Linked DNA regions of Daphnia pulex. The protein of the gene in region 2 purifies or fractionates together with the protein of the main gene of each other region. This does not show direct contact. Links are inferred from orthologs where the notes say so. Each region holds a gene or a part of one and is shown on either strand. Other genes may lie near its edges.

What was found.
Region 1: the proteins of E3 ubiquitin-protein ligase CHIP-like (region 2) and dnaJ homolog subfamily C member 13-like purify together in Homo sapiens (affinity purification with mass spectrometry; 3 studies listed by BioGRID and IntAct, with this or other methods). This does not show direct contact. The link is inferred for Daphnia pulex from reciprocal best matches to the Homo sapiens genes STUB1 and DNAJC13.
Region 3: the proteins of E3 ubiquitin-protein ligase CHIP-like (region 2) and protein arginine N-methyltransferase 5-like purify together in Homo sapiens (affinity purification with western blotting; 3 studies listed by BioGRID and IntAct, with this or other methods). This does not show direct contact. The link is inferred for Daphnia pulex from reciprocal best matches to the Homo sapiens genes STUB1 and PRMT5.
Region 4: the proteins of E3 ubiquitin-protein ligase CHIP-like (region 2) and hsp70-binding protein 1-like purify together in Homo sapiens (affinity purification with western blotting; 4 studies listed by BioGRID and IntAct, with this or other methods). This does not show direct contact. The link is inferred for Daphnia pulex from reciprocal best matches to the Homo sapiens genes STUB1 and HSPBP1.
Region 5: the proteins of E3 ubiquitin-protein ligase CHIP-like (region 2) and glutamine-dependent NAD(+) synthetase-like purify together in Homo sapiens (co-immunoprecipitation; 3 studies listed by BioGRID and IntAct, with this or other methods). This does not show direct contact. The link is inferred for Daphnia pulex from reciprocal best matches to the Homo sapiens genes STUB1 and NADSYN1.

Annotation. Positions count from the first base shown.
Region 1 is NC_060019.1:8,023,866-8,030,289, reverse strand, and holds the start of dnaJ homolog subfamily C member 13-like, read right to left. Parts: upstream 4,019-6,424; 5' UTR 3,856-4,018; coding exon 3,053-3,855; intron 2,987-3,052; coding exon 2,740-2,986; intron 2,678-2,739; coding exon 2,471-2,677; intron 2,404-2,470; coding exon 2,136-2,403; intron 2,075-2,135; coding exon 1,865-2,074; intron 1,791-1,864; coding exon 1,656-1,790; intron 1,591-1,655; coding exon 1,382-1,590; intron 1,310-1,381; coding exon 958-1,309; intron 890-957; coding exon 682-889; intron 623-681; coding exon 226-622; intron 166-225; coding exon 1-165.
Region 2 is NC_060019.1:9,013,207-9,019,127, reverse strand, and holds E3 ubiquitin-protein ligase CHIP-like, read left to right. Parts: upstream 1-1,971; 5' UTR 1,972-2,167; coding exon 2,168-2,257; intron 2,258-2,339; coding exon 2,340-2,466; intron 2,467-2,526; coding exon 2,527-2,598; intron 2,599-2,670; coding exon 2,671-2,798; intron 2,799-2,882; coding exon 2,883-2,996; intron 2,997-3,063; coding exon 3,064-3,120; intron 3,121-3,198; coding exon 3,199-3,315; intron 3,316-3,372; coding exon 3,373-3,498; 3' UTR 3,499-3,718; downstream 3,719-5,921. Other genes in the region: cytosolic endo-beta-N-acetylglucosaminidase 1-like, read left to right, coding at 1-69; CD82 antigen-like, read right to left, coding at 282-410, 467-802, 926-1,141, 1,335-1,409. UniProt on the Homo sapiens protein: E3 ubiquitin-protein ligase which targets misfolded chaperone substrates towards proteasomal degradation.
Region 3 is NC_060023.1:12,077,425-12,084,087, reverse strand, and holds the start of protein arginine N-methyltransferase 5-like, read left to right. Parts: upstream 1-2,664; 5' UTR 2,665-4,250; coding exon 4,251-4,435; intron 4,436-4,521; coding exon 4,522-4,640; intron 4,641-4,714; coding exon 4,715-4,929; intron 4,930-4,987; coding exon 4,988-5,392; intron 5,393-5,453; coding exon 5,454-5,662; intron 5,663-5,730; coding exon 5,731-5,853; intron 5,854-5,918; coding exon 5,919-6,094; coding exon of another isoform or gene 6,095-6,157; coding exon 6,158-6,361; intron 6,362-6,426; coding exon 6,427-6,629; intron 6,630-6,663. Other genes in the region: CUGBP Elav-like family member 1, read left to right, coding at 98-163, 867-1,160, 1,441-1,698, 1,774-1,901. UniProt on the Homo sapiens protein: Arginine methyltransferase that can both catalyze the formation of omega-N monomethylarginine (MMA) and symmetrical dimethylarginine (sDMA), with a preference for the formation of MMA.
Region 4 is NC_060026.1:16,274,022-16,279,936, forward strand, and holds hsp70-binding protein 1-like, read right to left. Parts: upstream 3,664-5,915; 5' UTR 3,529-3,663; coding exon 3,243-3,528; intron 3,179-3,242; coding exon 2,957-3,178; intron 2,897-2,956; coding exon 2,741-2,896; intron 2,682-2,740; coding exon 2,473-2,681; intron 2,407-2,472; coding exon 2,338-2,406; 3' UTR 2,234-2,337; downstream 1-2,233. Other genes in the region: uncharacterized protein LOC124205359, read left to right, coding at 1-27, 84-573, 652-806, 882-1,083, 1,149-1,261; nuclear cap-binding protein subunit 2-like, read left to right, coding at 4,081-4,119, 4,265-4,351, 4,412-4,506, 4,571-4,709, 4,768-4,866. UniProt on the Homo sapiens protein: Inhibits HSPA1A chaperone activity by changing the conformation of the ATP-binding domain of HSPA1A and interfering with ATP binding. Interferes with ubiquitination mediated by STUB1 and inhibits chaperone-assisted degradation of immature CFTR.
Region 5 is NC_060024.1:12,901,865-12,908,394, forward strand, and holds glutamine-dependent NAD(+) synthetase-like, read right to left. Parts: upstream 4,134-6,530; 5' UTR 3,961-4,133; coding exon 3,757-3,960; intron 3,675-3,756; coding exon 3,562-3,674; intron 3,502-3,561; coding exon 3,417-3,501; intron 3,346-3,416; coding exon 3,200-3,345; intron 3,117-3,199; coding exon 2,867-3,116; intron 2,797-2,866; coding exon 2,558-2,796; intron 2,489-2,557; coding exon 2,204-2,488; intron 2,119-2,203; coding exon 1,533-2,118; intron 1,464-1,532; coding exon 1,299-1,463; intron 945-1,298; coding exon 858-944; 3' UTR 636-857; downstream 1-635. Other genes in the region: gem-associated protein 5-like, read left to right, coding at 31-634. UniProt on the Homo sapiens protein: Catalyzes the final step of the nicotinamide adenine dinucleotide (NAD) de novo synthesis pathway, the ATP-dependent amidation of deamido-NAD using L-glutamine as a nitrogen source.

The DNA.
Region 1 (6,424 bases), about 990 kb from region 2:
GCAGATGCGAATAAGAAGATTGAGAATCAAAGCAGCCAAATCGCTTTCGTTGAGTAAAGGCGAACCCGTAGCCAAAATACTCCATTTAAATACGGCCACGTTTTGTAGCGATTTCCAGCCATCCAGTCCTTGCGCCCAGCAACGACTTTTTGCATTCAAATTACCCTAGAAATAGCAACAAAAAGTTTAAGATATTTTCCTGTATAGATTTGACAAATCACAAACCTTTTTGAACAACTCTTTCATTTCGACAAAGCTGAAGGGCCCTAGGCGCTCCCCCGCTGCATTACCATAGTACCATTCTTTCTCTTTTTCTCCGGGTTGCTGCATGTCGTTTCCAGCTTCAATCACGTTACTCTGACTGACTAGCACAGCTCGACGAGTGTGAAGGTGCGCCAACGGAAGAAGATCAATAAGATAGCGAAGGCCATCAGCGTCGAGCAGGCCCTTGACGTTGAGTGGCTCGTTGACCAACTGTGCCAAAAGGCAGACCAACCGGTCACGTTCTTCGTAGTCGATACAACGCTCCAACAGTGTTACTAGGTAACCCGTATCTGGAAAAGACCCGATGACGTCCCGATGACGGCCGTAAACCAGTGCCATAGCTTGTAAGCAGGGTAAGCTGATAAAAGAAAAATCATTTGTATATCGAGTTACGAATAAATGATAAAATGTTCTAACCGTAATGCTGGTTTGGGAGCAGTTAAGAAACGGCGATAGAGCTCATCAAAAAAAGCAACAGGATCTTTAATGTCAATTGCTAGGCATCCCGTAGGTTGGTTATGTTGCAGTAAGACTCTTAAATAGTAGTCACCAACTCGGACCTCATCCACTAGGGACGGATAGCTTACTTCAAATTCCGAATGGTTCCAAGCGATGGATTCCATTCCTATCGAATCATAAAAATCGGCAATAAAAATAAAGACAATAAGAGTAAAATATTTTGTATGAAATTACCAGATAGTTCTCGATCTTGAATGCATGTTCGAAGCTGATTTTCCAATGCTTCTCTAAGTTCTTCTCTCGTTTTAGCGTTCCATATCAAGTTGGGAAGGGCGTGTTCTTTCCAGAACTGGTAACACAATAGTTCCCAATTTCCCTCTGCTTTTACTCGTTGCCTTCTTCTTCTAAGGACAACAGGGCGTTCTTTTGGTTTTTCTTGACGTCTGGTTGCATGATCTCTAGATCTCCAGTGCTGTAAAGCTCCTTCCACATGTTTGGCCAACATCTTGTGTGCTGTCTTAACATGGCGCTCTACTGACTTCTGCCATTGAGGATTCTGCTTGCGGCCGTACTCATCGCTAGCAATCTGTGTGAAAGTTTATTATATACCAAGTTAGGAAATTGATTCTAATATAGTTCTTAAATGTAATGGTGTTACTTTTAGATTATCACGGTTTGGAACGCCCTCGCCTAATTCTTCATCGGCTGTTTCGGGGACACTTTCAGTGGATTCTAAAAAACTTAAAAGTCCTGCCGGAAGGATTCTTTGGAAAAGTTTCAACGCTTCTGGGTTGTTGGATGTCCATAATGCAACCAACTTCCGTGACAGTTGGCGGTTAAGTAAAAGACGGCCATCTCCAACAGATCCTGTATAATAATTATAAATATTTCGAAAGTGTTCAAATAAGGAGAAACATATATTAATTTCAGACCCGCTGGTTTCTTTGTGTAAAATGCTGTTAGTAAGTGGCGTGGCAAGGCAGCTTCGGAGAGGGCCAAATGTTGCATTCGAGCAGCCAAGGTTTCGTCCCCCTCTTCAACTACAGCTTTCATAAGCAATCCTGCTCCTGGAAGCGTGAAAATAAAAATGACGAGTTATTTAAATTGCAGCTATCATGTACGAGGTAAAGTAGATTCAAACCTTTAACGACTGAAAGAGATGGGTGTTGTAAAAGACGGAAGAGTTCCTTGCCCCGTTTTGCGATAATAGCCAACAGAGCGTCAAAATGAGCTCCATCAGTTGTTTCGCTATACGGTGCACAAAGAGCAAACGTGAGAAAATCTAGAACAGATATCACCACTAATGCCCCAGTTCCACGAAGCACATGCTGCGTCCACCGCTCCAAAATACCTATTCATACAACAGCGTGAAATAAGATTTTTTAAATTGTTCAACTGAGCTATACAAGTACCTTCAAGAAATTTAGGTGAAGAAAGCAGGGAGCTTTTATTGAGTTGTTCTTGACGTAAATCGCTCTCATCATACATGGGCTCCATTAGCGCACAAAGGACGTCGATAGCCGCTTGGGTAACATGGTCACGGTCCCGCTGCAAAGCTCTCACTACTTTAAGCCCAAGTTTTTCTCGAAACCCAACCAAATGAGTGAATGCGGCGAAGCCTGCTCTGGACGCCACTAAGCGACGTAACGCCAAAAATTCTTGTTCAGTATCAGCTTTATCCTAGAAAAACAATAAAAATACATGAACAACAGTAGACATCGACGAGAAATTAATTTAGTTAACAAACCTGATTTCCTGGTGAATCCTCTTCCACCAAAGCTGAAAGGGCAGCATGAATGGATTTTTCTTTGTTTTCCGTAAAGAAAATACCTTCTTGGGTATTAGCAAATTGAAGTCCACCATAGTTTACACTACAATTAAAGCGGAGCGTAGCCAATGAAAGAGGAACGGAAGGTGGAGGTTGGACCAGCCAACGCAAATGCATCGACTCAATCTAAAAACAAAAATTAAGAGAATAAAAAACTGAATAAACTTTCGTTTAGATATTTTACTTGCCTCTTCATCTGGTGGTTGACGTAAAGGAGTAAGCCTCAGAGCTCTATTCGTTAACGTTGATCGAACGTGAATATCTCGATTGCCTGATGACCTTACACCATCTAATAAAGTGGCCAAGAGAGCATCCCGCTCCGTGGCGCGGTAGCTACGTGTTCCTCCACGAAGAAATTCAACAGAGAAGCTTTGTTGATCATCCGGATTACGGACCATGGCAAAAACATCTTCCAACGGCTTGAGAGTGCAAACGCTAAAAACAAAATTTAAATTAATTGTCAAGTTGTTTGAGCATTTAACTCGTTTTATTCCTTATTACCTGTAGGTATCGGGATCTCGTTCGAGAAGGCAAGTTTCTGATAAACACAGTAGTCTCCGGACAGCATCAGGATGGCGAGGAGTGATTTTGTGGACGGGAAATTCAATAAGAGAAGTTAAATGCTCATCTGAGCTATAGTTACCAAGCCTCTCCAAAACTGCTTGATTTAAAGTATTGAATGATTTCAGTTGCTTAATTGGAATGACAACATTGGCAAGTGCGGTTTCTTGGATTTTTGAGAGGATATCACTGCGTCCAGGAATTTCAAAAATATGAAGCCTACTAAAACCTACTCTTCTAAAAACAATTGCTTGTGGACTATCTTCTATTAGTGCAATGCCTTCAATTTCATAAAAGGGATAGACTGCAAGTTGTTGTTTTGTGGTTGGTTCAAGCTGAAGAACTCCATACGGATTGACTTCCAAAATCACTGGAAGTTTAATACCTGACCAATGATGCTTGTAAGCATCATACTTACAGCACTCTTTACGCTGCTGATCACAATTCAACTTGACACGTAGAAATTCAAATAAAAATTCTGAACGATGATCACAAGTGAATCTCATAGAATCTCGTTTCTTCTTTCTAATAATGTTGAGAATGAACTCTGATTTTTCGACGGCTTTAATTCCAATGACTTCAGCGTATGGCCATTGATTGGTCACTTCTAAATTATTCGGATTGTAAGTAGTAATAGCGTGAGTGCCGATCGTAAAGATTCGTTTATACTTTCCTCGCCAGTTTGAAAGCTTTGTCACTAAAAAACTAGATATCTCTTGATTTTCTGGAATGACTGTTCCCATTTTTCAAGTTATAGGGGAGATTTCCTTCGCAACCCGTTGGGCTGACAAAATATACAAGCCAACGGGGCAATTTAATGAAAAATTTGGGTTACTTTTTTCGGTATGACTGCTCACAGTTATTATTTTTCTTCTGCTGAAATTCAGAAAGACATCTGACACTCTAGAATAGGCCCCGCCCCTTAACGCCCATAATAACATGACAGAGCGAAGCCGTTTCTTTGCGAGTTAGGAATTTTTCAAATATCCTTTTCAAAGAGTAACGAACTAACGATATCAGTATGCTTTAAATAATGTTACTGATTTTTTAATATTAATATTTCAGCTTTAGATTTAACAGTAATAACTTAAATAGGTTATAACACAATTTTATTCGCTTCCGGACGGCGGACGCTCCAAATTATAAAGATACGAAAAGATTAAAAACAAATTTTCAGACTAAAGAAAAGCCCCAGCTACATAAGCATTTCAAATTGAATCTAAAATTTTAAAAGTTTAGCGTGGGCAAGGTTTTAAACCACTGAAATAATCTGGGATTGGCAGGACTACGCAGAGATAAGGAGATGGGCCACTCTGTGTAAAGTCCAGCAGTCGACATTTTGCCCCCTCCCCCTCCTCAGACGGCGAATTCGACTGCGCTGCTCCTTTCGGCGAGCTCCGGAAGCTTTGCCTTACTTGGCGGTAGGGGCGGTCCTGAAGGAGGAGAACTACTGGGAAATGCTTCCGTGCAGTTTTTCTTAAAACGTTGATCCTGCAAAAAAGCCATTATGACAGCACATACAGTCCCCTCCATAAGTATGGGATCACCCCACGCCGTTCCATAAGGCGGCGTGTATTTTTCATATGGGTTTTTCGGTTGGCAAAAATCGAAAAAATAACATAAATTCACTAAACTTAAGATTTATGTCATATTACGTCTTTTCTATGGTCTGAATTTTTTTCAGATTTTTTCCCCTATTTTTTATGCCTAGAAAATTGGCACACAAAGTATCGGATCACTCCGACGCCGCCCGTGTTGTCTTATGGCGCAAATGGGCTTTTCATATTGCTTTTTATATATTTAATTTTCTAGAAGGAATTTTTATTTTCAAACCGTGTATACAATACCCTTTCGTCAATTAACTGTCAGTTTTTCATGATGATCTGAATTATTTTCGAATTTTCCCAGATTTATTCGTTTCCCGAGTTTCTGAAATAAGAGACTGCAGAAGACTTCATTTATGGTTTACAACCTCTATCAGCTGGCGTAGGCCGGAAAATTAGTGTCGTTTATATACGCCCCTTAAGTAAAAAAGGAAGAAGAGCGCCAGTGGTGTATAGAAACGAAACTAATTTTCCGGCCTACGCCAGCTGATAGAGGTTGTAAACCGCAAATGAAGTCTTCTGCAGTCTCTTATTTCAGAAACTCGGGAAACGAATAAATCTGGGAAAATTCGAAAATAATTCAGATCATCATGAAAAACTGACAGTTAATTGACGAAAGGGTATTGTATACACGGTTTGAAAATAAAAATTCCTTCTAGAAAATTAAATATATAAAAAGCAATATGAAAAGCCCATTTGCGCCATAAGACAACACGGGCGGCGTCGGAGTGATCTGATACTTTGTGCGCCACTTTTCTAGGCATAAAAAATAGGGGAAAAAATCTGAAAAAAATTCAGACAATAGAAAAGACGTAATATGACATAAATCCCAAGTTTGGTGAATTTATGTCATTTTTTCGATTTTTGCCAACCGAAAAACCCATATGAAAAATACACGCCGCCTTATGGAACGGCGCGGGGTGATCCCATACTTATGGAGGGGACTGTATTTTTGTTTTTTTCTTAGGACGTCCGATGTTGCCTTGTCCATATAACCATTGGCTCTCGCTCATCTTACGTTATTTTAAACAGTGGCCGGATGAAGTGGGTTGCGTCATCGAACCAATGTTAGTTAATAAATCCCCCCTCCTCCCCTTTATATCTCTTTCCATGATAAGGCGTGCGTAATGAGCGGATCAGTGCATATGGCAGTCACGCGGGATTATATCAACGCACTGGGCGCGCATCACGTCAATCGCTGCAGCAGAAAGATTTTTAACTGGCTTTTTTCTTTTGCACGCATCAATTAAATTGTTTTTGAGGGAAATGCAATATAACAAGCGCGAAAAAGGTAACGAACGACGGGGAAATTTTTCACAGAAAAGTCTGTGTATCTCCTTACTCTATTTTCGTACTTTTAAAAGGAAATACACTCTTTGCATGGCAAAACGGTCAGCAACGAAACGACCCATTTGGCTGCCGACTTGCGGAACGCGATACTTGACAACATGCCTCGCTACGGCGTTAGACCACCGGTGAGTACTTGGCTCAGGTATTGCTGTGCATTGCGGGCCCTGCGATCGCTGGTTTCACAGTAGCTGCGGAAGTTGACGGCAAAAACCGCGGACTGCGTTTACTTGTGCCACATGGAGTGGGTGTGTGCGCCGTGTTCAATTCCGTCCGTGCTGGGCAAGTACTATCTCAGAAATGAGCAGTTGGCGTTGGCTGTAGAGTACTGCATGTCGTTTGACGACTATTCCATCTATCT
Region 2 (5,921 bases):
TTGAGAAGTATTGCGCTTGAAAGCCAAGGTGAAACAGAGTGCAAGATCGGTTATTTATGTTGCTTTTAAGTTTTTTTTAACACTGATGTAAGAAGTGAAATTCTGCCAGTCAAGCAGAGTAACACGTAGAATAATGTTCAGCACAGCATTTAACACTGATTCTATCACATATATAAATAGTGCTTAAATAAGAAAATTAATCAATTATTTTTAGATTGCGGACCGTTTAATTAATTTAAGGTATGCATTCTAGACAATGTACGGAAAATCTAAACATATTTTTAAACGCCACAACACATCGCCACCGACAACAACAATCCAGCTAAATCAATAACTGCAATAACGACAAAAAATGATAAAATGTATTCGGATATTGGCTCACTCATTTTGGTGATTTCCGACAGACATCCCTAAAAAAAAGAAGTAGTAAGAGAGGAGAAGACAACGATTATTGTTAACAACTAACCTCGGTATAGATTTTCTGACTGATTTCTTCCCATTTCCATAATTGGATTGTTTGTCCTTTTAGCATATCGTGACAAGCTTCTCTGTGTTCAGGTACACAGCATGAAGTTGTCACGGTTTCTTTTTCAGCTTGGAGATAGGTCAAATTGTAAAAGGCGTGAATTCCGCAGCAATTTAGCTTGCTTCGGATTTCATCCACACGAATTTTTGAAGTTTTATTGTGGTGATAATTAGAAATGTTTTCCTTCAGAGAATTTTCGGTTATTTTGGAAAAGCGAAGAACCATTATTCCTCCCACAATTACGAATCCAAGATTTAGTAATACGAAAACCAGGTACTGAAGGCGAGCAGTGCGATGCAATCATTCATCGTAGCGAAATATTCCATTTAGTCAAAGGAGAAAGAAAATTACTCTAAAATCTTTTTTTGTTTTTTTTTTTTTATACAAACACGAGCTTACGCAAGATATCAGGCATTTTTTCTCGCCAAAGGCACCACACATCCCGAATAGGCTAAGAAATATGAGTAGACCGCTGACGGCAATTGCAACCACGATGTTCATAACCATATATTTGTCGTTTACCACCAAAAATTTCTGTTTGTCTGATCCTTTTGCAAATTCTTGACGTTGTACAAGTGACGACGCCGACAAGGAGATTAATACAATGCCGCTCAACTGCATTTCAAAGAATATGTCAGTATCATATTTTATGAAAAGCAATAACAAACCCAGTCTTCCAAACGCAACATTTAATTCGATAATTTCAACCATCTTCAGTTAAATTCTTTAGTAAACTCACGTTGGAATAATATAACTGTTAATATTTTAACAAATCTACAATTACATTGTAATAGAATAATATGTTTACCAGGATTAACAAGTTGAGGCACAAAAAACTCCATCGTAAAATCTTGTGGGAACGGAACGTAACCTCGTCCGTCATTTCCCTTTGACTGTTTTTCCAGTTACTATTTCAAATCGGAATGAAAGCCCGTGTGATAAGGAAACTTACTGTACCACTAACAGGAAACCCAAAATCCGAGTAAAAGAAAATACATTTGCAAACAAGCAATACAGCCGGAACCCAAACGGTATAAAAAAGTGACGTCTATCATTAATATCGTAATCCATAAAACCACGTTGACTCCACCAGTTGGTCTCACGCTTCGAAGTTTTAACTCCTGAGATGGTCACACGATTAAATAAGTAAATAACCAGAATAACCACTGCGGATCGCCTACTGTTCTCTAGGTTAAAGCCCAGCAGTGCGCAGTCAAAATTGTACGCGCGTGTATCCAGGTCGGATGTATATCACTCCAAATAACCTTTTCTTTTGCTTATTTCAATAAATTCTCTGCTTTAACAGCTCTAATTAATTTTCTTATCCTAATTTTCAAATTAGATAGGAATCGTTATGGCGTCTACTGCGCGTATTCATCATAGATTAAAATCTATTTTTATTGGATGGTAGATGGCGGTGAAAAGGTCTTTCCACAATCCGCACTTTACTTTACTTTCATCCGCATTTTATAGTTTATTTATTAAAAGCGTTTTTGTTGTTTTCCGCTTTAGTGTCAGAATATCTGACGTTAATTGGAATTGTGCAATTACGTTTTCGTATCTATTTTATGTGATAGTGTTGCTTTTTTAAATTCTTTCTCGATCCTACAGCACCCAATAGTTTCTTTTTTAGAGAAGAAAATGAGTGACAGAGAACACAAAGATCAGGGGAATAAGTTGTTTTTAGCTCGACGTTTCGATGAAGCAATTTCATGCTATTCCAAAGCCATTGTAAATTTCTTTAATTAAATTAAGCATAAATTATTTTGTTTTGCAACGCGTAAATCAAAGTAATTGTAATTGTTTTCTTTAGCTTAAAAATGGTTCTGTTCCACAATACTACACAAATAGAGCTCTCTGCTCTCTCAAGCTTGGCCGTTGGGATGCAGTAGTGCAAGATTGCAAAAGTGCTTTAGAGTTAGACAACACTTGGGTGAAAGGTTTTTAGTATAAATTCTTCAAAATACTCTGAAAATGCTATATATTGCTATTATGTTTAGGGCATTTCTTTCTGGGCCAAGCTTTAATGGAAAAAGAATGCTATGAGGAAGCAATAAAACATCTTCAAAGGGGTACTCATTTCCCCAACTTAACATAAATTTTGAACACATAAAATCTGATTATTGAAATTTGCTTGTTATTAGCCCGTGATCTTTCGATGGATCAGAAACTTAATTTTGGGGATGATATTACCAGTCAGTTAAGACTGGCAAAGAAGCATCATTTTACAAAGCAGGAGGAGAAAAGAATTTCACAAGAAATCGAACTACAGGTAGTCTGTTAATAACATTCTCTTTGTCCACTCCACTTTGCAAAAAATTATGATTCATTTGAAACTTGGATTTTATTTTGATAGATGTATATAAATAGGCTCATTCGAGAGGATCGAGATCGACAAATCGATTTGGTTAGTCAAGACAAAGAATACAGTTCAGTGGAAAACGAAATTTCGAACATAGAGAACGTCACCGTGAGCATATCTAGAGTATTTTTCTTGTTTCGTTAGTAGACTAATAATACTTGATTAAAATCGGTAGGATCGCTACCTGGCTGAATTGAATGACCTTTTCGCAACCGTCGATGACCGAAGAATGGTACTATAAATTATTCAACTGTGTGTTTCAGTACGTCTTATACCATTAAGAAATTGTCTTTGTAATTGTGTCGGTTAGAAACGTGAAGTTCCAGACTATTTATGTGGCAAAATCTCTTTCGAGATCATGAGAGATCCAGTCATCACTCCTTCAGGAATAACCTACGATAGGAAAGACATCGAAGAACATTTGCAGGTAAGTGAATTCAAAATTGCCTAGTAGATATTAGCCAAAAGATTTGTTTTTACGCAGCGAGTTGGACATTTTGACCCTGTGACGCGAGTTAAATTGACCAAAGACCAATTGATTCCAAATTTCTCCATGAAAGAAGTTGTCGACTCGTACCTGACCGAAAACGAATGGGCTCAGCACTACTAACCACTTTTTTAAGGATCATTCATTGATTTTGATTCTCTTAAAAACTCCGCCGCATTGTATTAAATGAAATCGATATATATTATGATTTGAATCGCCGAGCCCCAGTTGTGATGTTTCCTATCGGGTTGGATGATAATCAGGAAGTAAATGTTGCTATACAGTCTTTCGCTATTGATTGCACATTGCTGTTGTACTTCAATAGACGATGCTGGAAATTTTATATATACCTGATTATGAACCTCCTATTAAATTTGATTTTATTGGGATCAGAGTTCGCCTTGAGCAGATTCTACACCTGTAGGATTGCTCCAATCTTTCAATAGGTTATATTCTTTAGACTAAATTATCGTCTCCTCTGACAATTGTTTGTGGGTGATTGATTTTATTACTTTAGCCAAAGGCAATTGATGATTTGCAGCCGAACTCTATTGGTACGTTTCCTTTCATTAAGCACTTAATTGAGCTTGGCGTGGTTCGTTGTGGATGTGGCCAAGGACAATTGTATCAGAGTTGGTTAAGTTGGTCATTAATCAGGGGGGTCGACTTGAACGGACGGTACTATCGATCCTGGTACAGCACGGGACTGGACCGATATTCACTTAAATTATAATAAACGTCCCATGGGTAAATTGTGTTTGCCACGTCGTCAACTACAGTTATTATCTTATCAGCACTCTAGAGAGAAGTCTGTTGTGTATCTTGCAGTGTGCATACAAGGGCGGAAACGTTACTGTTCCTGTTCCTAGGTCTCAAGTTGAAGTTTTTCAATTTAATGCATAGCCTAGCACTTGTTGTTGCATCGATTTCTTAACTTTTTTTTTCCCCCTCTTCGCGCTTCGACTGTCCTATAAAGGATCGAGCTGACGAATCGAACGGCGTTGGGTGTGCCGTATAGACGACGGAAACGATGGACAAGTCCCGCCCACTCTCATAAAAGTTGGTTGGCAAATAATGCGGGACATTGAAGCCTTTTTAATGTGTCATCTTTTTCATTTTCTCCTTTGATCGCTCGGTTGCTTTTATCGCTCTTGCACGGGGCTTTTATCGCGGTCGACTTGTGCCCCGAATGGCGGCCGGTATCGGACGTTACGTTATATTAGAAGTCAACACAACAACACTTATATGCGGCGTATGTGTCACAACGAGAGTGCCTTTTTGCTACATGGCCCACCGCCAACACGTTTCATTTCCGTTCAGTCTGTCAATAACGATCAGTCAAACAAATAAGACACAACTTTCATTTAGATTGTACCCGGGATCGGCGAGGGTGCCAACGACTTGGCGTTTGTAATTGATTGCCTAGCTCGTATGGAAAATATACGTAGTATAACATTTTATAGGGACTTTTTTAATCCATCGGTGATGGCGGTTGGCCCAAACTTGAAAGCATTTAAAACTGAGTGGAGGTCGAAATTTGATAAACCGTGAAATGGAAACGGGTGCCGTCGACTGGCCATCGTCAAATTGTTTAGTTAATTTAGATTTGTTGGTGTATAGAGACAGTTGCTTCAAAGCCGGTTTCTTGTTATGGCGTAGTCCACGAGTTGCTGCTCCTGCTGCCTCGATAGATAAATGTATACACGTGAAAGAGAGTCTGAGCGTCTAGGTCGTGTATAGACCAACAGTTGGCTTGTCTCACGGACTATTTTCAGATTTAGCAAGGATGCCCGATACACGTGTTTTTCATTCCCGAAAGAAATAAACAAAATGACGAAGAGCAAAGCCGAAATATTTGGAGAACTCTCTCTAGATAGATAGATATACACCGTGACCAACTGCTCATCTATATATTTGTGCCAGAGATTCATTGGCAATCTATCGCGTTTTAGTCTGCGAATAACGCCAATAGGTTTGCCCCTTTTATATTATTATATAATGTAGTGACATTGTGACAAATGAAAACCTCGATCGAATCCGATCGTACTGTACAAGAAACGGCAGTCCATCTGGCCCGCGGAGTTAAACAGCAATCAATACTGTACAGGCGGTTGAGATGGATGGACTAATCATTGGGAGCGTTCGGCCATTTGACTGTCACACCCAATAATCAAATGGCACTGAAGAAATAAAACCGATCGTCGCGCTATGGTGGACATGAGTGTTAAGGTGAGTTGAGAAAACAATAAATATAAGAAAAAAGGGAAACGGTGGAAGTAATGTCCGAGCAAGTAGAAAAAAGGGGACAAGGAGAATGGCAACTGATAATAAAGGGCCGTTGGTCCCTAATGTTTCGTCAGTCGAAAGTCGAACTGCGAGTGGGGCGGTTTACTATATACACGCGCGAGCTGCTGCTGCACGTTAAAAGGGAAATCAGAAGAAGAAAAAGAATTGGTTTTATTTACGACAGGCCCTCTCGCGATACACAGTCGTATCACGGCCGTGGTGTTGCAATCTGCATCCACAAGTTATCCGACCGCGTGACA
Region 3 (6,663 bases), on a different chromosome or scaffold from region 2:
TTCTACCCCCCTGCTCCTCCGGGTCCGTATTTCTCTCACCCACCCAAACCTCTACCTTTTTTTCATCAACCCAAAATGACGTTGTAATACGCAACAGCTTTCACGCACGGAGACGTCATTGTACCCGTGACAGCTTCAGCTGGCCATTGGGCTCCAGTTGTCGGTAAGTAAAAAACAACTAAAACCAACACAAAAAACGAATTTTTATTTTCTCGACGAGACCAAACCTTTCAAATTCGTTGTAGCTATCAAATGTGTGTGCACAACAACCTACCCAAACACGAATGGGGAATGGCATTTTTCATATTGAATTTCTCGTCTCTCTGAATTGTATAACGGAATGATTTCTTCTTCTTCTTGTGCACGTTTCTATTCGCTTTGATGACCTTTTTATTTCTTAAATTTTATTTTGGCTTTTTGTTTGTTTTTTTATATCGATTTGTTTGTGCCGGAACACACACAGACACGAAACACACAAGACACACACAACAAAAACACTTGAGAGAAATGATCAACTCAAATTGCCCCCCTCAATTATTTTTTAAATTTTTTGTCATCATTTTTTCGGCTATTTCTTTTTGGTTTTCTTTTTCTTTTTAATGGAATGCCTTTTCTTAATATATGCCCGTCTTAATGACAAGTGACGGAAACAACACGGTGATCCATTCATAGATCAAATGGGGGACAGAAAGGGGTTGATGCTTTTGTTGTTTAATGTCGCATGTTTTGATGGTTTGATTGGACTTTGAATGGGATTTAAACTGGGACATTTAAAACAAAATAAAAGAACAAAACTCCTAAATTCCCTCCCCAAAAACCGCCCGGCTTGCAAAAACAACCGACTCATCTGACACCCAAATTGATAGGAGGATCGGCCAGCAATTCGCTGGGCCATCAACTGGTGGCCGCTGGCCCCACTGCCACAGCTGCCGCCACACAACCGTCCCATTCCAACAGCCAACAACAACAGCAGCAGCACCAACACCACCACCAGAGTTTAGTCAACAATCGCGGGACAGCTGGAACAGCAGCAGCCACGGCGACGTCGGCCGGAATCAACGGATTGGGGACGTCGGCAGCCGCTGCGGCAGCCGCCGCCGCCGCCAATCTCGAAGCCCTGGCCAACGCCTACACGGCCGGCATCCAGCAGTTCACTACAGGTGCCGCCCAGCCCCTTCTCCAAACAAAAACCCCCAATTCCGCAATTCCGCAATTCCGCAAAATGAGATGATCATTTCTCCAATGTGGAAAAAAAGCGCCAAAATTTAAAAAATTGAAATAATTTCATAAGGAAAAGTTACACACGAAACAACAACATAAAAATCATCCGGCACTCTTCGTCACTTTGCTTCTTTTTCACCTGTTTTTCTTCCACTTCCGGCATTCCGGCATTCCTTTTTCGTTTCAAAAATTGATTTATTTGTTGGTTTGTTTTTTTAGCTTTCCCCAATTTCACTAGCGGCCAGGTGGGGATGAATGGCGCCAACGGCGGGAGTGTCAGTCCCCTGGGTGGCAGCGGCAGCGTGACGGGTAGCGGATTGCGCCAGCAGGAAGGGCCGGAAGGATCCAACCTGTTCATCTACCACCTGCCGCAAGAGTTTGGCGACACGGACCTCTGTCAAGCCTTTTCGCCCTTTGGCAACATCCTATCAGCCAAAGTCTTTATCGACAAGCAGACCAATTTGTCAAAGTGTTTCGGTATTTCCATTTAATTTGACATGACATTATATTTTAATCGGAAAATTTTGATGAATTCTATTTCTCTTATTTTAGGTTTCGTGTCGTACGACAACCCGATGAGCTCCCAGGCGGCCATCCAAGCCATGAACGGCTTTCAAATCGGCACCAAACGGCTCAAAGTCCAGCTGAAACGTTCCAAAGACGCCTCGAAACCTTATTAAAAAAAAAGAAACAGAAAAACTCTCGGGGGGAGAGAAATAAATATTTTGAAATTCGAAAAAAAAATTAAAAAAAGAAAAAAATATTTTTTTGTTGATGTCACTGAACGCAACAAGCCACCGCCCCATTACAAAAAAAAAGAAACGTACAATTTTCAAATGACTGGACAAACACGCCTTGCCCCTTCCCCCTTTCTTGGTAGTAAGTTGGGAATTTTAAATTTTTTTTGTTTTCATTTTATTTTTTAAAAATAATTATTATTATTCAATTTGAAATGCGACCAAATAACCTAGTCACATTTATGGAAAAAAGTGCAAAGCCTATAAACATATCATGTGATTGGTTCTTCTTAAATTTCTTTATTTCACAAATATTTCACAAATAGAGAAAACAAATTGATTTAAACCTTTTTTTTTGAATTCTTCTCGATTCATTTTTCCCGCTCAAATTCAAATGATTGAAATTTTCTAGTCTATCTCAGGGTTTTGTCGTTGACTACATGTTTTAGCTGTAACGTTTTTGTCTCTCGTCTCTCGTATCGAATGTTGTTTTTGATTTGATTTTCTCTTCTTCTTCTAGGTTTCCTTGTGTCCGTGTGTCCGTGTGTGCACCACAACCAACCAACCAACCAACCACAAATTTAAAAAAAAACAATTTCAAACCTCCTCTCGTTTTCACGTTGTTTGTCAAACCTTTTTTTCTTTTTTTCATCGTGTATCTTACTCCCTGCGTGTCTCGTACGTGTGTTTTTGTCGTCCCCCATATAGACACAACAATTGTTTGGCGTCTCTGTCGTCGGAGAAGCGGACGAATATTTCATCCGCTTCTTTTCTTTTATTTGTTTTTCATTTACACGTGTCTTGTTCTTCTTTAATTGTTATGTTGAATCATAGTATATTACCAAATTATTGTAGAGAGATTACAAAAAGAAAGCTATTTCATGTTTGCCTCCCTTTTAAAAAAGAAAAGAAGAATTCAGCTAGGCCAGATGCCAAAATGTCGTTTGTTTGTTTCTTCAATTTTTATTTTTAGTTTTTCCATTTTTTGGATTATGTTTGATTATGTTCCGTGTCCCATTTGTTTGTGTGTCTTTTGATTGTTTTAGTTTTTTTCGATGTTGATTCGACATGGATGTAGTGATCAGCTAGTCTCACCCACACACACACGTATAGGTTATATATAATTATATTAATTTCTAATTTTTAAAAGTGACATTAATTCAATTCGAAAATACGAACGTGTATACCTCCCCCACCACCACCCACCATCGACTCTTCATTTCTGTTCGAACCGTTTGACAACAACAACAACAACACGCAAGATGTTGGAAACAAGGTGTGGCGCCGTGACACCTACATGTGCCTTTTTGTTTTGTTTTTTGTTCTTTTTGATCGAAATTTCCTCGGCAGTGACACGTACAGACGCACGCCCTAGTCATGCAACAAGAACACACACACACACGTCCGACGGCCAATTTACCACAAGTATCAAATGATCCCAAATGTCAGTGTGACGTGCAGATTTTTCGCAAGGACCGGCAAACATTTTTTGGCAACCAGGTGGACGTTATCCCCCAAAAAAGGACTTGACAAGCACCTAAACAAAAACTTGTATATCTCTAATTGTGTTTTTCTTCTTTCTTTTAATTCGATTGTCTTTTGTTCAAGTTCCAAGTGAAAATTTTTTGTTGTGTTGCAAAAAGTGATGTGACGGAGTTGTTTGCTGTTGTTGTTGTTGTTGTTGTCTGGTGGGCACGTGAGATCTCGTCGTTTCATATTTTTCTTCACACCCCATTTCCCACGTTTACCTTCGTTTGAGAAAAAACAACTACGGTTGGCGATTTTTGAAGCGTCAGACATTTTTCGATACTTAAAGAAAAACTAAAACAATTATGTTGCAAGACGCCAGCAAGAGAAATTCGCCCGTGTCTATTTTTTGAAAGAAACACACACAAACTCGTGACCTAATGAGCACTTGTTGATGGTAGTCATGTTTGTAGTATTCATTTTTCAGTTCTAATTAGACAAGTTCCTGCGAGAGAGAAGAAGAAGAAGAGAAATTTGAATTTCGGGTGGGATCGACGATGCCAAATTTTATTTTTGTTTTATTTGTACGACTTTTTTTTTTGTTTCATTTTTTTCACGTTTGCACCGCAAATTTAGACAAAAATTTGATGTTACAAATTGCGATTTTTTTTTGGAAATATTTGGTGTGGAATACTTTAAACGTGTTTCAGCATGTCGCAGAGCGATTTCATTTGCCCGTTTTTTATGATGATTTCCCCCCTCCCGAATGATGGCAGCCAAGTGAAACAGTTAATACAATATTTTAAATTAGCGTCTTTAAAATAAATGTCGATTTCAATTAAATTAAAAAACAAAAGTAGGTGTGCGAAAATCGTTTTTAAGAAAAGAAATCTGGCAACGCAGCCACTCAGAAGACCGACTACAAAAATGGCAAAACGTGTTTCGTGCGGTCTCGATTTCGTTTCCCCTGCCGATATTACAAATGCTCTACAAATCGCCACAGAATCCAAGTATTAATTTGATTCCCGAAATTAATTTCACAAGAAATTGCCCCAGTCACTTGTTGCTAACAGCGTAATACTTTTGATTTCGTCAGGTATGATTTCGCTGCACTGCCAATCGCCCATCCGAGACACAAAAGAGATTTCTCCGGAAATTCTCAAGCTCGACGTCTCTCAGCTTTCACTCGAGCTGATCTCATTCTGAACAGCTCAGGTATAAAAGATAAAAAAAGTATAAATGTGTGCCGAGTGATCCCCTAATTGAAAGTTGAATGATCTCATTTCAAGACTGGAGCACGCTCATTGTTGGAAAGATTTCTCCACACATTGATTTGGATCATGAAGACAAGTTGCTGCGGCAAGAATCTGAGAAAATGCTGGAGCAAGAGTTGTCCTTTGCTGGACATCTGGGTCTCCCCGCTGTCCTTGTCCCCTTGAGAAAGAACAACACAAATTTTGCCAGATTTATGCACAACAAAGTGTTGTCTTCACCGATGAATCAGGTATTTCATTACCAATATTTTCTTTTTGCAGACGATTCAATTATCACTTTGTGCCTAGGCCAGGTACCATGTTTGGCTCCACCTCCCCATGATTTCCCCGAAAATTGAGGCTAGTCTGTTTGAAAGGGATGTGGATGAAGAAGAAGTTGATGATACTTGGCATTGGTGGAATAACTTTCGCATTACTGCAAACTTTGAGAAGAAACTCTCACTGGCCCTGGAACTCACAGCTGATTTGCCTGATGCTGAAGACATTGATCGTTGGCTGGGAGAGCCAATCAAGTGTCTTGTGGTTCCTACCCATTTATTCATGACCAACAAGAAAGGGTTTCCAGTTCTTCCCAAATCCCACCAAGTGGCCATACGTCAGTTTTTACGCCAGAAGACGCAAATTCTGATCACTGGAGCTCAGCGCCACCAACATTACAAGCATTATCAACAATATATTGAGCATTTGTGGCAAGTAAGGGGAAACAACAATCGCTTACTTTCCTTTTCAATCATCATATTGTGTTTTCTTGTAGGTTGGGTATGAATCAGATCCAGTTATGCGATTTGCACAAGGTTACGAAGACTTTCTCCAATTTCCTCTCCAACCTTTGATGGATAATCTCGAGTCTCAGACCTACGAAGTATTTGAAAAGGATCCCGTGAAATACACCGAATACCAGCGGGCGATGTATCTGGCCATCCTGGATAAAGTCCCGTTGGAAGAAAAGGACACGAAAGTCATGTAAGTTTTGTTTTTTGTTTCTTTTCTACCGAGATCTCCGTCGTAATTGAATTATTTTTGAATAACAGAACATTGATGGTTGTCGGTGCCGGTCGAGGTCCTTTAGTTCGTGCTGCCTTAACTGCCGCAGAGAAAGCTGATCGTCGCATTCGTTTGTACGCAGTGGAGAAGAATCCCAACGCCATAGTCACGTAATGTTTTGCCGCAGAAATGTTATCACTCGACTCGTATTAATCAAGTCATTTTCATTCAATAGTTTGCAGTGTCTAGCCGACGAAGAGTGGGGGGATCGAGTGACTATCGTTTCTTGTGATATGCGCGACTGGGATGCACCTGAAAAGGCAGACATCCTCGTCTCGGAATTGCTCGGATCGTTTGGAGATAACGAGCTATCGCCAGAGTGTCTGGACGGCGCCCAAAAATTCTTGAAAGGTGCCCGTGACATTGTCGTTATTTGGTGGAATACTTTGTTGCTCATTTTTATTTCATTCTTAGATGACGGGATCAGCATTCCTTCGAGCTACACTTCATTTCTGGGACCAATCCAGTCTTCCAAATTGTTCAATGAAGTGCGATCCTGTCGGGAGCGTGACAAGCCTTACTTCACTTCTTTCGAGATGTCGTACGTCGTTCACTTTCGCAACAGGACAGAACTGGCTGATCCGCAGGCCTTGTTTACATTTACTCATCCGAATAGAGGTCAGGAAAAAATTGTTTTAAAAAGCTCTGAATTTCTGCTTTAATCCTTGACTTGACTTTGACAGAAATGCCAATTGACAACAGCCGTTATGAAGTGCGGAAGTTTCCTATTAAATGCGATGCTATGCTCCACGGGTTTGCCGGCTATTTTGAAACGGTTCTCTACAAAGATGTGATGCTCTCCATCAACCCTGCAACACACTCGCCTGGAATGTTCAGTTGGTTTCCAGTTCTTTTCCCCATCCAGAATCCCATCAGTCTGAAGAAGGTAAATTCAACTGTCTCTCCCGATATCTAGACAA
Region 4 (5,915 bases), on a different chromosome or scaffold from region 2:
TTGAAAAATCAAAATCCTCAACTTCAGGTACGACTTGGGCTTTTTATGTCTAAATAAAACTCACATTTTGTTTTATCGTTTAGATGGAGGCAGGAGAAGATTTGGCATCCAAAGTTCTTCAACTGGAGGCCAAAGTGCCACAACAGGAAACGCTTATGATCGCCTTGAATCACATTCTCAAGTTGAAGGAGGTTGTCGGGGAGAAAATGTCTGAACTCGGAGAAAAAGACTCTCAACTGGAGACGAGGATGAATGAACTCGAGCAAAAAGATTCTCAGTTGGAAACCAAGTTGAGTGAACTGCAGTCGAGAGAAGTTTTGAAGAGAATTCTGGAACTGGATCCTGGAACCCAACAGAATGAATCGTCACTTCAATCTCTCCAACAGGAAAATTTTAATTTACCGTACAACATTCCAACCATCACTCGATCATCGGGGAAGAATGGCAACCCAAGAACCTGCAAAGAAATTCACTCGAATGATCCTTCTTCTCCATCCGGAATGTACTGGATCGATCCGGATGGCCAGGGAGTTGGAGATGACTCCATCTACGTCCATTGCGACATGACAACAGGTAACCTGCTAATAATACCAAATTGTACAAGGAAAATATTTTCTCATTAAATTAATTTTTATTTCTGGGTTTAAATAGGAACGACTTCAGTTCCCCACGACAGCGAGTCTCCAACAAACGTGGGTCATTGCGCTGAACCTGGATGTTATTCCAGGGCAATAAGGTACAACGCAACCAGTAAACAATTGGCAGCGTTGGCTGAATTATCAGTCGAATGCCACCAATCGATTGTAGTAAGTCAAATTCTCCTCTACAACAATTAGATACATCGAATAAACGTTAAAATTAATTTCCTGATGTTATCACAGTACGACTGCAACTACGCCCCCTTCGAATTCAACAACGTCCCTTATGCCTGGTGGAACGACAGAAATGGAAACCCGCATTATTATTGGGCCGGAAGTGCGACGGATGTCCATAGCTGTCAGTGTAGTATCGATCAAAATTGCATTGATGGCACCGCCAAATGCAACTGCGACTCGATTTCACCTACGCAACTGACTGACGCAGGTGATAAGTTGGAAACTCATTTGTTAAAAATAGATAGCTTCAATGGACTTTATGTCATTTTACAGGTTTTATCACCGATAAGAAACTCTTGCCCGTCACCGGTTTGAACTTTGGACGAACACATTTTGAAATTTCATCCGGAGTCCACACACTCGGCCGATTCCAATGTTCTGGATAGGTGACCATCTCTGGAATGCCAAAATCCTGCGAGGATCTCTGGCGTATTGGACACTCCCTCAATGGCGTCTACTCCGTCGTGGGATCTGCAATGATGGAAAGTGTTTACTGTGACTTTACAAAACTCCCCGAGGATCCAGGTAATTTACAAACAATACTCTGCTAAGTGCATAGTGATCCAGTTAATTGTTGAAATTATTAACCGCAGGATTCCAGAAGTGGATCGGGTACGCCGACGTCAAATCAGTGCCCACCTACTTTTACGTGCAGAGAAGTCAACGTTTCTCCAAAGTCAACGTTTCCATCCCCTTTAATACGGCACTTGTCAACATCGGGAACGCTATTAATTTGACGACTGGGGTTTTCACCGCTCCTAGAGCTGGAACTTATTACTTTTCGTTCACAGGATTGGCCGAATTCCCAACATTTTCCTCTCTGCTCTATTTAGGCGTGGATTTGTATTTGAATGGAAATCTTATTGGAAGAGGTTTCGTTGAAGACCAAAACACCGTTGCAGGGCAATTCACTCCCGTGACGTTGCATTCGACGCTCAATCTATTACCTGGTGATCAAATCTGGTTGCAAATAGATTCCTTGTTGCCTCCGTTGATTGGCGACGGTACTGCAGCCCGTCGTAAAAGGCGAATGCTTCCGACAAAGGGAGTGATTTTATTCGACGATTATCGCCACTTTACTCATTTTACTGGATTGATGTTGGAGGAGGACATTTCACAATCGCTTTAATTTCTTTTCTTATTTTTAACTGATGCATTTAAAACAATTAAATTTTGCCTGTTACCTACAAACTTTTTCAGCAGAGACCTTCTTGTTAATACATATGTATTCTTTAGGATTGTAATGACCACAACAATCTTGAGGATCAATAGGATTGGTAGATTACGATAACAAAATTAGAGAACACCGTTCACGCTTCGATGGTTCACGAGAGAGTAAACAAACAAAAACGTAAAGATTATCAAAAGGACGTCGGTGTGTGTATTGCGCCTCCATATCATGAGCCTCTTTGTTTGCTTTTTAAATTCTCTTTCTATTGCCAGCAATCGAATGCCAATAACTTCACCTGTCTTCGACAATGTCTTCCTTGAAAATCACCGACAACAAAGTACGGCAATACTCGGCTTCCTCCTATCAAATGAAAATTCAAAGTTTAAAATTCGATTTCATTTTCAAGTATTGACTAATAATTATTACCAGACATTCGTCGCGATCTCCGATTAATTCGATGCGGTTGTCGAGAAATTCACGAAAGAGAAACTCTGATCTACGGCACTCCTCGATCGATGGGGGGTGGCTCTGGGTAAGTGCCAGCAAGGCGGCCAGTAGATGTTCGTGAGTCGAGTCGTGATCTCGTTGAAGCAGAGCCACAAACTGCTCCACAAATCCCATATTACATAAAGTATCTAGTAAACAGGGTATTGGTTAGAGTACAAATGGAGAAACTTATGAATGTGAATAAAACCTTTGAAGGATGGATTCTCATTGCATAAACAAGTCAACAAGAATGAAGCCTTGATTTTCAGTTTCCCGAGTGATGATTGCAGTGCTCTCAGTAAAGACGAGAAACCATCACAATGCACAAATGCATCCTGGGCTTCTGCACATTCTCTTGTCAAACCTATAATCAATCAATTGTTAACTGAATTCCCTTAGTGTGAGTTGTAAATCTGCTCATTACATGAAATGGCGTACAGGGCTTTGATTCTCGCCTCTTCACAGTCATCGTTTTCCAGCATTTTAAGCAAAATTGGCAATAGGTCTTCGTTGAGCACATGCTGTTGGCAGTATGGGTTGTTCTGGGTGAGGGTGCCAATCAACTGACAGCACCTCCAACGAACTCCATCGTGGGGAGAATTCAAACAGGGGATGAGGATGAAAAATCCTCCTATCTTGTGAAAGTCTGGAGAAACAAGCGAAACAAGTGTCAATGTTTTATTCAATCAATAAAAAAAGATATCTCATACCATTAGCCGTGTCCATGGAATCGGCAAAGTCAGTAATCATTTCCAATGCTTCCTCCATCTCCTGGGGATCTTCTTCAGGACTTTCGACTCGATCTGGATTGAGGATATTTAACGATTTTGATATTTCGGCTACAACGTCGACTGACAATCCTCTTAGAGCTTCTTCTAACCAGCGTCTCCTTTCTTCACTCATCGATGTGGTTGTGGTACGATCTTCAGCTGCGGTGCCTTCGATGGCAAATCTTAAAAGTCCTTGCATATCTCTTGGTTGTCGTGGGGGTTCCATTGTTTTGCTAAGGATCTCAACAACAACTTGTTATATATTTATGAAGAATAAGACGCAGTACGCAAGTTAAACCGTGAACGCATGGGGCAAGCAGACGTCAATGAAACTGTTTACTAGCAAAATCAAGAAGAGTCTGGAATAAAAAGAGCCATCTAGGCATGACTCGCATAACTTAAAAAATTTTGACATTTACAAAACAAACCTGTTAAGTTAATTAAGATTTGGATAAAATTCATTGAGATTTTAAAAAATTATTGAAAAAATCTGCGAAAGTGTGTCATATTTTTATTTGGTTTTTAATTGTAGTTTAACGCCGGAATGGGTTTCTAGCAAGTGACGTAACCTAGCGGCCGCCATAAGCATCTTTTCGAAAGTCACTCGCGTCAGGTTTGTTGTGTCAACGCACACTTTTTTTTAGAAAAAAACCACACCAATTTTAGTAATTTAAAACGCATAAAGTTTAGCCGGTTGATTGGCTGAATACAAGGACACTTAATTCGGAAGACACTGGGGTGAACGGTGTGATTGGTTCTCCCGAAATAATTCGTAGAAATGGCGGTTCCAAGCACATACCGAGACCAACATTTCAAAGTAAGCCTCATGAGTTGATAGCAGAATTGAAAATGTAACTTAATATACAGTTTTGAGGCAATTAATGTTTAAATGGAAATGCATACCTTAATAATTAAAAATATTTTGATATTTCAAGCCAAAATAACTGATTTCCATCTTTCAGGGTTCCCGGGTAGAGCAGGAGCGTCTGTTGAGTCAATCTTGCACCCTGTATGTTGGAAACTTGTCCTTTTACACAACTGAAGAACAGGTTAAATACTTCCAAGTCAACAATTGGTTCCATTTGATTTCATCTTTTCAAATATTTTAGATCCATGAATTGTTTGGGAAATGTGGCGATGTCAAGAGAATCATCATGGGATTGGACAAGTTTACTAGGACCCCTTGTGGATTTTGTTTTGTAGAGTAAGTCATTGCAACCAAATCCAATAACAAAATTGTGTTTAATTATTTCTAATTATCTTTCAAGGTTTTACCTGAGGAATGATTCAGAAAATGCCATCAGGTTTGTGAATGGGACAAGACTGGATGACAGAATTGTGAGAACTGACTGGGATGCTGGCTTCATTGAAGGAAGGCAATATGGCAGAGGCAAAACTGGAGGACAGGTCAGCATTTCGTCAGCTCAAACTTATTGTTCTCAACTAATGGATTTCTGTTTTGCAGGTGAGAGATGAATACCGAACTGACTTTGATGGTGGCAGAGGAGGATGGGGCAAAATGATTCAGCAGAAGGTGGCCACATCTGCTGCTGCTAACAATTGATAACATTTCTAAATACTGTATTCATTCATCTCTGTGTGTTTTTTTTTTTAACAAATGTCAACAAGTGTTATCCTCAATTAAAACAGACCATGCTGAATTGATTTCCTAAACAAAATCTTTTTTACCTGTGAAAGAAGACGTTTCTCGTCATGTTTCCATCTGCCAGTCCGGTTGGCCTGGATTTTATCGATCGAAAAGTGGGGACACTAGAATCTCTTGCCATGTGATCTGTCACTCCCAAAGCTTTTTCCTTTTCAAAGCGAAGCGGGTAGTTTCCCAGAAGAGCTTTTGCGGCCGCGTGATGCACGCCATCATCTACATGCAAAGAAATATTTGAATATTCAATTCCCAGTGGTCGTCTGCAACTTATAACGAATGTCACAATTGAATTTGTGTCAAATGTGAAGCTAATTCAATGATCATTGATCAATTAGATGATTTCCAAAATGGAAATGGTATCGATTTCTGATTGCTCGGTAGTTGTTTAGTTATTCCAAATTAAAACTAACTTATTTATCGTTCGAAGAAAGAATGTGCTTGACGTGACATTCAACGTGCATCTGAACTACCAGGAAAATTGTACTGAGTGAGTGTGTGTGTATCTGGTGTTGGCTGTTTGAATATTTCTGGGCGACGGCAATCGAGTTCTCTCCCACTGCTGCAGCCGCTGGAAGCATTCATGTCCGCGTGCCGATCCGCGTGCTCCGCCGTGAGGCTATAGCGGGACTGGTGCATGTTGGCTGGCTGCTGTACCCACCGCCCAGCACTACAGATGTTGCTTATTCAAATATTGACGTAAAACTCACGTGGAGCGACATGAACATTGCCCAGCACCTGTTGTATAATCTTCATCTTCCTCCTGGTGGCCATGCCAACAAAACGGGGCTGTTTCCCCCCCTGCGAATATCCGTTTATACATCATTTAATTCCCTCTGTTTGAAACTAGTGTAGGAGCAGGTATTGTGTCTGGCCGTTAAGTTATCGATTGGTTGGTATATTAGGTGTCGTTGACGGCCAACTGCGCATTTGGCGAAAACGATATCAAACGA
Region 5 (6,530 bases), on a different chromosome or scaffold from region 2:
CGATCATTAATTGGAGTATTGATCCGATAGGTTTTGGAGGGAAATGGCCCATCTGTACGCCCAGCAGCTGATGGCAGAAGGAGATGTCAGGAAAGCCGTGTCTTATACTCTCATTTCCGGCCAGAAGAGTCAGGCAATTGAAATGTTTTCCAGTCAGCAGTTACATCGTGAAGCCGTGGCTCTTACACGTTGCCAGTACCCCGACGAAAGTTCTCAAGTTCAAGAGAGTCTTTCTCGTTGGGCCAGCAAAGCTGTTTTAGATGGTAATCTCGAATTGGCAGTAAAATGTTTCCTGGCCAATGGCGAGGTAGCTGAAGCGGCTCGCACGTTGGCGCGACGATCAGATCCGTTGTCTCTGGTTTTGTCGGCTGACCTGGCTACAAGCGCCGGTCTGGATCAATTGGCTGCAGCCTATTTACAACAAGCTACGGACATTGCGCAGACTGCCACTGCGACTACTGAAAAACCTAGTCCTACACCGACGAATGGCGATGCCGCCGTTGCGGAAGTATCTCAAAGTATCGATCAAGCGGACAAGAACCAAGAAGTCGTCGCATTATCAACAGCAGCAGCAGCAGCGGAAGACGAGAAAACAGAAAATGACGAAATCATTCAAGAAAATGGGAGAGAATAAATGATGTATCTGGGAGTGTATTATTTGACGGTATTATTATTACAGTCTAATAATTAATTACATGGACGGCTTTGTTGAGCCCATATTATGCTGATAATCTCCTTTTATCTAAAGGCTTATTAATTAATTTGAATCTAGACGGTCACACAGGAGCTCCCCGTTGATCCGCACAATTAGCAGTTATTGTGAGTTTTGGTGATTTCCTTTTCTTCTTCGCCATTAACTAAAATGCAATAGAATTACCTGATTGCATGTGCGCATTATCTAGTTTACGATCATCAGTGTCGACCATCTTGTTGACGTGCTCCAACTAGAAAAAAAGACAACAAAAAAAAGGAGGTGGAACATATCTAAAAATGACATGCGTAAGCCATGGCTTTCCCGACCGATCAATACGCCGGCACCTCTCCAGTTTTCACAGATCAAACAGCCTTAGCATATAAAACCTCCCCTTCCTCCTTTCAGCTCCCCCCCCCCCTCCTCACCCTGACTTTGGTAGCAGTATAAAAAAAAATAAAAAAAGGAAGGATAAAGATTCTCGAGGCGAACCGGGATTCTTCTACATTCTACATGGTAATTCCATTAAAAGCCTAAATGAATAATTCACAAGCTTACATAGTAGTAGTATAGCTGTCGGGCATGAAACGGCTCGATATATACTTACATGAGCGTCAATTGCGCGAAACTGCCATCCCCACTTGGCGTTGTAAAGGAAGGGCCTATGGTCGAAGCGGTTATCATCGGGGCTGTACGTCTCGGCGTGGACGGAAGGCGTAATCACCGTCATTTTATGTCGGTTGATGGCGTAGCAGCGATAAAAATGTTTGACCTTGAAATTGAAACTCTTTTGGTACTAAATTTCCATTTTTTTTCTTTTTATAAAAGAGACATTGTATACTTTGTGTGCGATTTCAGCTGGTGTTCCTGCTCCCCTCCAGCTTTGAATTAGTCGACAGAAAGTGGTGTAAGGCCCACAGGCTGCCTGTTTACGAAGTCGCCCCAAGTCACCCAGCTCGGCGTAAGTTAAACCCATGTCTTCTTCGTCCGTCTGAACTAGACGACCTTCTTGCAAGGGCTCCAATTCGGCAGTCGGCGGAGCTGTCAGAATAGTGTCCAGGGAAGTTAGACAATATTCATTCCGGGCGTATGATAGGAATCGCTTCAAATCCCCTTTGGAGATTCCGCCGATGGGATTAACATCGGCACTGGAGCAATCGTATTTGGTGAGGTAGCCACGCAAAGATTCGTCGACATTGGCAGAACCAAGAACCAACAAACCACCCGATCTGCCCCTGGCCCACAACATCAACTGGGCCAGCAAGTAGCTCAACACCATCCTCATTCGGGCCTGGACGTTTTGCAGGGCAAGGTTTTCTCGCAAACTGCCGCCATCGACTCTGAACTTTGGTACGAGCCCCGTGACGACTGTGAAAATGTTGAGAGCGGCCGAGACAACAGCGTCGATAGCCAGGGTCAAATGATAGCTTATTGGGTGATAAGGAAAAATAATTTAGTGTCTGTTTTTTTGTTTGTGGTGTCAAGTTGGCCAATTAAAAAAAGGTCGTTTACCTTCCCAGCTGGTCAGACAAGTCCTTTGCCCGCTGTCGTGTCTCCGCCGATGAATTGGCGCTGCCCATGTAACAGGTGATGAAAATCCGGTTGCACAGTTCACGAGGATCGTCCGGGATGTAACTGGGATCGCCAACAATACGCCGGACATCGTCGATGGCGTGACTATCGCCATTTTGTACAGAAGTTACCACCATTCGACACATGGAGTAAACTAAAACAGCCGAGGAACTTGAATCGACACCTCCACTCAGAGGTAAGAAAAATCCACCCTGGCCAGACCGCCTTCAAGTAATTTGATGTTCGGTTTAAAAAAAAATGTCATCCTGTTGTTTGAAATGAATTTAAACCAACCTGAGATAGTCCCAGAGCCAGCCGGCAGGACCATAAGCAATCTCCTCTTCAGGACTGTGGTACTGCCATTTGAATGGGGTACTGGAAGCTCTCATAGCGTAGCAGGAAGACTCGCTCAGACTGAAATCGACCGGAATACGACGATACGATGGACTCTGGGCAGCGGCGATGTTTCGAGAACGGACTAAATTGCGGTAAGTTCGTATGTCATCCAAGTCGACAGTGGCTACAGCAACTTCCTAAAGAATAAACCATCGCAAGAAATGATTTTAAAAATATCCAAGTGATACATATTGTGACGAAAATTACCACTTCTTCTAAGGAGAATTGACGCGTTCTAGCGATTGTTTGTCCGTTAAGTGCGATACACGATCCTCCATTAAACATGATACGCTGTCCATCGCAGCCTCTTAAATTTGAGAATAAGTAGCAACCGCCGGACTTTAATGTTGCTTGTAGGACAAGATCGACGGCAACGTTGGCCTTGCGCAACTCAAAGTAGGAACCCGACCCGTTGACGATGAATTCAACGCCGTCCAAACCGAGAGAAATGTGAGTACTACCAAATAGTGTGCATATTGGGTTTTACTGGTCATTAAAACAACAAACAATAATAATATTCATTTGCAAGTACAACTGTACCTGGAGGGATTCCACAATTCTTCACAAATTTCAAAACCTATGGTGGTATCCAAGGTTTCCAGGACTGCATCTCCAAAAACTACAGATTTTTGCCCTGTAAGCTCTCTTATAAACTCTGGCAATATGTAATCCTCTGTTTGGTAAAGCTGTTTACAAAATAATTCACATTTAATTAAGGCCACAGATCCCAAAAACTGGTGTAAAATAAATTTTATACTTTTGTCCAGGCAGTGAACCATCTTGATTCTCTGTAATTGCCATCATCACAGAGTTTCAATTTAGGACGAATCAGCAAGATTTTTCTGCGAAAAGGGGGGTACTGTTTATAAGAAGAGCATAATAACAATAAAACAATTGCTTACCCATTGAAAAAAGCAACTCTGCAATTGTAAGTGACACTCTTGTGCATAACCGGCATGCCAACATCAACTAAAATATTTTTGCATACTGGACTGGCTAATAGTTCAGCCAAAACCTATTTGAGGATCAAAGATCATTTTCTAGATTTCCCAGAAACAAACCGCAGTAAACATAAATCAGAAAAGTGACACGCTAACCTCCCAGCTGTGTAGAAGAGTGTCAGCTTCATAAAAATGATCTTCACAGCTGTATCCTGTGACTTCTAATTCGGGTCCTGTGCGATAACTAGCACCTTGTACTTTTGCTTCTTGGATGCTGGCGATGATGCGTGACAGATTTCCGTCGAAATCCAAAGCCCACTGGTTCAAGCAGCAAACGGCGACTACAACTTTGCGCCCCATGTTCTCCTCGTTGACTGATTTAATACTATTTCCTTTTTACCTTCTTGCCAAGCTGCGGAAATCGACCCAACAGGTTTTTTATTACTTTGCCAATACTAACGTTACCAGAGCAACTGTCAAATCGACAAATCAGCGGGACGGAAGGTTTGTTTTTCTTTTCGCCGAGGTAAACATACAGCATTGCCAGTTTTTGGTAGAAAGTAACTTTTTTTTCCCCTTCCTCCTTTTTTGTGTGTGTCGACGTCTCGACGACCGTTAGTCATTGTGACCTGCAGTGCGGCCTTGGTAGATTTATTATTAAGCATAGGCTTTTTACGAGCAGATTTTCATCAGTTAATGGCATAATAATTTCATCTCCTATTGCCTTACGTATTATTATTACGTGTTTGCATCAAGATGTTGTCTCGTAGCTAATTATTATGCGCGTTTAGCATTGAGAAAATAGCATTTAAGTTATAGAAATGTGACGTTAGTATATCGTTGGTCGCATTGGCCGCTAGATGACAGTTGAGAGGTCAAAAGAAAATAGAAAACAAAAAAAAAATGTGTCCCAATAAAATGAAAATCCAACACACGAAAAATCTAGAAAGAGAGAAGAAGACAAAAAAAAATTATTTTCAAGTAAGACGCGCGGCCGAAACTGTAAACGAAAGCGGAGGGAAGGGAGGAAATCAGGATGAAAGGAGAGAGGCGAAAGAGAGAGGAAAGAAAACGGGTGGCGTCTGCAGCCGTGGCCGCTGTGGCGCTGTCTGTCGGGGAAGAGCCCGAGTCTCTCCCTCTCTCTTTTTTCTTTCTTTTCTTTTTTCGCTTGGCTTTTCCGTTGGCTTTTCAAGTGAAATGTGGTCAAATCCGTCTCTCTCCTGTTAATACGGAAAGTCGTCATTATTGAGCTTTCTCTCTTAAAAATAAATGTATATTCATCAACTTGGACGTTTCTATCGAATTTCAGTCGAATATTTTCCAACGTTTGAATTACGTGGTGTAGCGCCACGTAAAATAAAATAGATATCCCCCCCACCCCAACTGAAAAAGCAGACACACATTTTGACGTGTGCTTGACTACGAGTATCAAGGTGCCGACGGCTAACAGCTCCGAACGGCTGGGGCTGGGGGGACTCTCCAAGCCAATGTGGCAATTGTGTTCAGTCGAAGTTGCTGCTGAACGAGAACGAGACGTATCTCTGAAACTTCTCCGAACAAAATCATTTTTTTTCCCCCTCTTCTTCGTCAATCACACACACAAACACACCAAATCCCCGACGAAATCGATCTCTCTCTCTCACTGGTGTCGTGTGTGTTTCTCCCTCAATTTCGACGAATAATTAGTCTTGGAAAAAATCGCCATTACTCCCCACCACAAAAAAACGTTCAAATGACTCAATCGATTGGCTTTCTTTTTTTCGAAAATTGAATTCTCGGTGTGTCTGTGCTGCCGAGTCTCTTTTTTATTTTTTGGCGCAAGCATAAACTTTGGTGGGGACATATATCCAACGAGTGTGTTACGTGTTGGACGTGTGGTGTGTGTGTGGTGTGTGTTGCAGTGTCTGTGTGTCGACTGGAATCTGGCCAAAAGCAAGCCGAGTCTCGTGTCTTGGATTATTGCACAATTTAAGACTTACCACTTACTCACTACTACCACATACCTCTAACCTCATCTCTGCGGATCTATTCAAACTCGGCACATGCAGGTATGCAATCATCATTTCTTGTGGGATGGGGGGGGGGAGAGAAAATTTCGCCAACAAAAATGGCGTGTGTGGAATGACACATGTGCTTTCTTAAAATATTGTTGTAACCTGTTGAGTGAGTATAAGTTGAGTAACCATCCGGTCATAGAGACAATTGATTGCATGTAATAATCATCATGCCGGTTGTTTTCTTGGGGGATTTTTGTATTTTTTGACCGAATTGGTTTTTGGGGGGACCTTCCGCCCGCGTCACTATCAAACCGCACACACACAACACCAGCGTGAGATTGCAATCAATATTTCACTCTCTTATGTCTGTGTGTGTGTGTGTGTATAGGAGGATGCATCGAAAGGGGGGGTCAAAACGTGTTGGTCATATATATTCCCAGCGTCTGTGTGTTTTGATTTCCAGTCAACGTCCATTTTTAGGTTTTGTTCATTGAGGAGCCCCATACACACACACACTGAGAAATTTGAATGGTTGAGGGTTTTTTATTTCACAGTGAGGGGAACAAGCCCCAGCATATATTTCGAACCTGGGGTTGTTTCCGAAGGGTGTGTGTGGTTGTGTGTGGGGAGAGAGAAAATATTTTGTCTCTCCCCTTCCTCTTTTCTTTTATGTTCATCTTTCAGTTTTTCCCAGTTAGTGACGCGTCAAGTGGTTGTTAACCCGCTCGCTAGGTGGTGTTGTTTGACAAGCGCGCGAGAAACTCCCTTTCGAAATGTGTGTGTGTGTGGAGGAAGGGGGGACTCGACTGGGAGGGGTAGGGAAAGCAGTAGACACAAGGCCATCATTTGGAAACCCATCGTCTCATTACACAAGTGGTGGCCCTTTTTTTTCAAAAAAAAATATAAAAGTATTGTGTTCAAAGAGTTTTTTCT